2 linked regions of the Danio rerio genome follow. The protein of the gene in region 2 interacts with the protein of the main gene of each other region in a pairwise test. Links are inferred from orthologs where the notes say so. Each region holds a gene or a part of one and is shown on either strand. Other genes may lie near its edges.

Region 1 (4,103 bases), on a different chromosome or scaffold from region 2:
GGTTCCATTCTTGCCCTTTGGTTGCAGGTCTGTGGCTTGGAGAACAGTGGCTTGGACATGGGTTGGAAACCACTTTTGCGACTGTTCGCCCAATGACATGATGAATTCAAGTGTAAAATTATGGACTTTGGTGTGAAGTGATGAAGTGTAGAACTTTAGTTTGGCCTTTCCATTTTTCCTTTAGCTTCCAATCAACAAGAAATGAGCGACTGAGAGGTAATACAAACGAAAGTTGTTCAAGGGCAAGTGAAGAGCATATTTAGCATTACAGTCACATCTATTAATGGAGCAGGTAATGATTTTGTTACACTCCGCAAACACTCCACATTCACCCCGCTTCAACTTAGGTCACCTATAAACAAAGACAAAAGACAGAAAACAGTGTGAAAAAAACAATAGTGCATTTGACTTATATTTTTCAATATAATGTTAATTCATGATAAAATAAATATTACTTTATTTATATTTCTACAACTATATTGTACAATTAGTATTGGATTCATGTTAAGTAAACCATTTACAATGTAGAGATTGCATTAAGGTAAAACAGAAAGAGAGAGACAAAAAAACACCAAAATAAATCAACAGAAAATAAATAAAAGTACAATGATATTATATTGAATTAAGATAGAATTTATGTCAATAACAATGATAATCTCTGGGGGTTTTTTTACTCTATATCGACCTAAGAGCCAATCACACAGCAGAAATGTGCAACAATAGAGCTCAGGCAATAAACAATATCATATCTAATCATGATAAAATGTATGTCAATAACAATAATAAGCTCTGGAAATTTTTACTCAATATTGATCAATGCAAAGAGCCAGTCACACAGCTAGGCATGGGATGATAATCATTTTCAAGGTATACTGCGGTTTGAAAAAGTCAAGGTTTTAAAACTGGCAACATTTTTTGTATTACCATTCTTAGGTATGTGTAAGATTTTTACTTTACATTTTTTGTTTTGTTTTTTAGGACAACAGTTTCTCCAGCAGTTAAAAATGTCCATTAAATTTTGCTGTTTTAAATTGTAAAGAAATCTGTGTTTTTGAAACTAATGAAGACAGCAGAAGTCAATGATTCATTTAAATTATTTACCCTGACAGTTTACTGCTCTGAAACATTTTTAAAACAAAAGTATATATTGTGTTCAAAAGGAGAAAAAAGTTCTAGTTTTTTTTTTTTTTTTTTTTTTTTTTTTTACCCAGACAGTTAAAAAGAATAAATTTTAGAGCAGTGAGCACAACACCATGATACCCTGATATATCCAAGGTTATCATACCATCAGAATCTTATACCGGCTCATGCCTACAGCACACATATGCAACAACAGGAATCTGTAATTGTGTTGATATTAGGGAAATGCAACCTCACTCAGTATTGTTTATCGAGCTTGATTAACTTTCCCACTAGCAGTATTAGCTCTTAAACTGTTGCTTATTTTAATGATGTATATTTTTACAATTTCAATTAAGTAAAACATTTATTTAAAAAAAAAAAAAATCTGTAATTGTTCATTTTTAGAAAATGCAATAAGTATCTTTGTTTGTGTACTCTATGTCAACGACAGTTCTTCAAAATATTATATTTCACATTGTATATCATAAGTATATTATACAACATTGGAATCTCCAAAAAAAATTGCATAATGTGTCAACTGTTTTTGTTAATTAATAATACTTTAAAATATAATTTAATGAAGCGTCTAATCTTTGTGGCTTCAGTCATTGTTGGGATACTCTTTAAAACAGGAAGCATTAACAACTTATATCAAAATATATATCGTTATTAGTCAATATGAAAAATATTTGAGATTGCAATATTGACATATCGCTCAGCCCTATACAACGAGAATCTAAAGTGTGCTCATGTTGGAGATGTATTGAATTTTCAGTAGCTGAAAATATGTAATTTCATTTAATGCATTTTAGGAATGTTGGGCTGAAATTGCTTAGGGCCCCCAAATTAATAAAACCCCTGACAAGTAAACAAATAAATAAAACACAAGAATAACATAAGAAAAAGCAGAGTACTTCTAACAAACAAGTGAGACATAATAGGCAACACAACATACGTAAATCTGAGACTATATAGCAATTAATAAATCAAATAAAATTTATTTCCCCACAGTGTGCACATAAATTTGTAAAAATCAAATAGACTTAAATTATGTTGCCACATACAGTATACACACAGAAGTATATACTAGTAAAACATATATAGCATATAGTAAAAATATTAAGTAAAAAATACATAATTTCAGAAAAATAACGCTAAATGTGTGACAGCCATCTGTAAACAACTATTAGTAACGTAGCTTAGTAGTGCAAGTTTTTTTAGTGTCTGTAATATAACATTTAAAGAACTGGCAAATTATAACAGCTACATAATTTATTTACTTTTATGTCACTTTTATACTAAGGATTTTTTTTTTACCACCACATGAAGATGATGATCATCATCATCATCATCTTCTTCATGGTTCCCTCCATGCGGTCTCCTCTTATTTAATTGATCGGATATGATAGAAAAGCACCAGTGATGCTCGGCTAGCTGCATTGCCCAGTCTCAGTGGTGCTGTCAAACACCCATTCAGCACAATGCTCTGATATTTACCTGTGAAGCATCTTTCTCGAGCACAGCGAGCGACACCACAGCACGTGTGAAGAGCGCTACAGTGAAACCCTTTCAGTTCTCCACATCTGCGGTAAATGTAAATTAATAACTTACTCTAATCGACACTAATTCATCTTAAACAAATGTGTGGTATTCCACATCAGCCCTGCTCTCGACTTCCTGCTTCCTCATTTCCGCCGATGCGGTCATGGGTCGAAGTGTAGACTCCTCCTCTGTTGCCATGGATTTGATCAGCGCTGTTCCCGGGATTCCGGTGACTGGGCTGAGGAGCATTATTTTCAGCAGTGCGCTTTTGCTTTTGCTTTCAACCAGGTCAAGAATTTAAAAAAGGACAAATGTTGTAATGCATTGTATAATATTGCCAGTCAAATGTTTAGGAAAATTGAAAATACTAAAATGGTCCTTTATATTTTTATTAATATGTATATATATATATATATATATATATATATATATATATATATATATATATATATATATATATATATATATATATATATATATATATATATATATATATATATATATATTATTATTATTATTATTATTATTTTATGTTTTGAGCTCTCTTCTGCTCACCAAGTCTGCATTTAGGCTACTCCAAAATATAACAAAACGAAAACACTGAAGTATCATTATGTTGGAACATTTTCTTTTAAATGTTCCATTTTATGTTTTTCATGGTACTTTTATAAATACAATGTTTAAAATAACAGTGATAATTTCATATACAATATTTTGAAACATTACAGTATATAGGTTTAATGGCAATTTTGATTTATTTAATGTGCCCTTGATTATTAAAATATTTTGAGAAATTATAATAATGTGACATTGGGGTGTTGATATTCATCTCTGAATCACATGAATTAATTACATTTATTCTAAAATGACAATTTATCTTAATTAAAAAAAAAATTTCATTCATTCAATAATTTTCCTTCGGCTTGGTCCCTTTATTCATCAGGGGTCACCACAGCGAAATGAACCGCTGACTTATCCAGCATATGTTTTAAACAGCGGATGCCCTGCAACCCAGTACTGAGAAACACCCATACACACTCAGATACACTAATACACTACAGCCAATTTAGTTTATTCAATCCACCTATAGCGTGTGGCTTTAGACTGTGGGGGAAACTGGAGCAGCAGGAGGAATCTCACACGAACATGGGGAGAACATGCAAACTCCACACAAAATCGACAACTGGACAGCCGGGACTCGAACCAGCGACCTTCTTGTCATGAGGTGACAGTGCTAAACACTGAGCCACCGTGTCACCCCAGGAAAGAAAAAAAAGAAAAAAAAAATACAATATTACAATTAATTTATTGTGTTTTTGATCAACTAACTGCAGACTTTAATTATTTTCCAAATTACTTTAGTAACAACTAAATGGCAAAATATGGATGAAATTTTCCATCATTATAATGTTAAAACTACTTAAAACGGGGGAGCTCAA
Region 2 (2,323 bases):
CCTGTGCATTACTCCAGCCCGTTTCTGACTCTGCTTTGCCTTCTGCCTGCCCACGACCCAAGCCTGATACACGGACTCTGAATCACGCCGCCTGCCTCTGACCCTTGCCTGGTAATTCACTCTGTGTCTGTCAGCCGCCAGCCTTGATACCTTTACTGCTACTGTCGATGTGTGTTTGCACCTTTGTGCATATTGTATGTTTGAGTAAGTGTGATTAATAAATACTGCATAATGGATCCCTCCGTGTCAGTCTCCACGTTACATTGTGACTCCTTTATATTCAGCAATTTTTTTTTTAAGCTAATTATTTGTAACTTTTTTTTTTTTTTTTTTTTTTTTAAAGAAACTAATTTTATTATTACTCATCTTTTAAAAGTACTTTTCACTCATTACTTAAAAGTCCTATTATGTAACTCGCATTACTTGTAATGTGTTACCCCCAACACTGTGTAAATGGTATACATAAATATATCAAATTGTTGTTTTTTTTAAATACTGAAGGTGGAAAGGCATACAAAAGGCACTTGCTTTCTTAATGAAAAAACAAAGACTTTTAATTAGAGTAAAACATGACAAGCACACCAGATTTACCAGATGTTTTAGGAGAATAAAAAGGGTTCATTTTAATCTGTGTAGTATTGTGGAATATTCCGTTGCATTCACACAGAAAAACCTGATTTGGACTTTATTAAAGTAAAGCACTGTCAGCGCAGTTAGATACTGTGTGTGTGTGGTCAAAAAACAAATATATTTATACATGTATATATTACAGAAATAAAAGTGAGAAGATGAGCGGCGGGACGTGATGAGGGACCCGGAGATGACTGACAGGTGAGGGCTGGTCGACGTGGTTACAGGTTTTGGCAGCACTGCAGTTTGTTGCTCTTCTGTCCGTCTGTGGTGGGCGGGACACTGATGTCCACAACGTTATTTCCGGGAGACTCGTCATGGGCCGACCGCTCCGCTATCTGCTTCTGTGATACGATACGGTAGATTTCTGCACAAACAAAGAAAGCAGGGGATTATCTGATCAGTTAGTGATCAACAAAACATTGGAGACATTCATTTTAAAATCTGATTGGCTGAGCCTGAGGCTGTGCAACATGACAGTATATATCATATGGTCAAAATAAAAAGTTTATTATTTCATAGTATGCTCAATCGTTTATGTCGTTAGTTCACAAAATACATTGTTCCCGGTAATAAGTTTTCATCATTTATATGCGCACAATATTACACGTGACTTGTTACAAAACCTGATTGGATAAGTCTTGTTCTAAAAAGCTGGTTGGATAAGCCTCATAATAAAATCTGATTGGACGAGCCTCGTTCTAAAATCTGATTACAGGATGTGTTTGTACCTGTTAGGATGTTTTTGAAGGCCTCTTCAACATTAGTTGAGTCCAGAGCTGACGTCTCGATGAATGACAGGTTATTCTTCTCTGTAAGCAAGCAGAGGGCGTTTGTTTATATTACTATAGTGGTTCTGTTACCAACGCGAGAATTACTACCACGGATCAAATACTTTAGTTGTTGTGTTACCATGGCGACTATAGAATTACTATCACAGATCATTTACTTTAGGTGTTGTGTTACCATAGCGACTATAGAAGTACTACCTCAAATTAATTACTATAGTTGTTTTGTTCTCATAGCAACAGAAGAATTACTATAACAGATCAATTACTACAGTTGTTGTGTTACCATGGAGACTATAGAATTACTACCACAGATCAATTACTACAGTTGTTTTGTTATCATAGCAACAAAAGAATTACTACCACAGATCAATTAACACAGTTTTTGTGTTACCATGGCGACTATAGAATTACTATCACAGATCATTTACTTTAGGTGTTGTGTTACCATAGCAACTACAGAATTACTACCACAGATCAATTACTACAGTTGTTGTGTTACCATAGCAACTACAGAATTACTACCACAGATCAATTACTACAGTTGTTGTGTTACCATAGGGCCTATGGAATTACTACCACAGATCAAGTACTATAGTTGTTGTTACCATAGCAACAAAATAATTAATACCACAGATCAATTACTACAGTTGTTGCATTACCATAGCAACAAAAGAATTACTTTCATAGATCAATTACTACAGATGTGTTACCATAGCGACTATAGATTTACTACCACAGATTAATTACTACAGTTGTTGTTACCATAGGGACTATAGAATTACTAGCACAGATAAATGACTACAGTTGTTGTTACCATAGCAACTATAGAATTACTACCACAGATCAATTACTACAGTTGTTGTGTTACAATAGTGACTATAGCATTACTACCACAGATCAAT

Evidence for each region. The genes of interacting proteins can lie anywhere in the genome.
Region 1: the proteins of rab11bb (region 2) and rab11fip2 interact in binary tests that used the Homo sapiens proteins (3 or more experiments, as listed by UniProt). The link is inferred for Danio rerio from reciprocal best matches to the Homo sapiens genes RAB11B and RAB11FIP2.

What each region holds. Positions count from the first base shown.
Region 1 is NC_133188.1:22,756,310-22,760,412, forward strand, and holds the start of rab11fip2 (rab11 family-interacting protein 2), read right to left. Parts: upstream 2,816-4,103; 5' UTR 2,620-2,815; intron 353-2,619; 5' UTR 100-352; coding exon 1-99. UniProt on the Homo sapiens protein: A Rab11 effector binding preferentially phosphatidylinositol 3,4,5-trisphosphate (PtdInsP3) and phosphatidic acid (PA) and acting in the regulation of the transport of vesicles from the endosomal recycling compartment (ERC) to the plasma membrane.
Region 2 is NC_133177.1:59,799,842-59,802,164, reverse strand, and holds the end of rab11bb (RAB11B, member RAS oncogene family, b), read right to left. Parts: intron 1,443-2,323; coding exon 1,362-1,442; intron 998-1,361; coding exon 852-997; 3' UTR 537-851; downstream 1-536. UniProt on the Homo sapiens protein: The small GTPases Rab are key regulators of intracellular membrane trafficking, from the formation of transport vesicles to their fusion with membranes.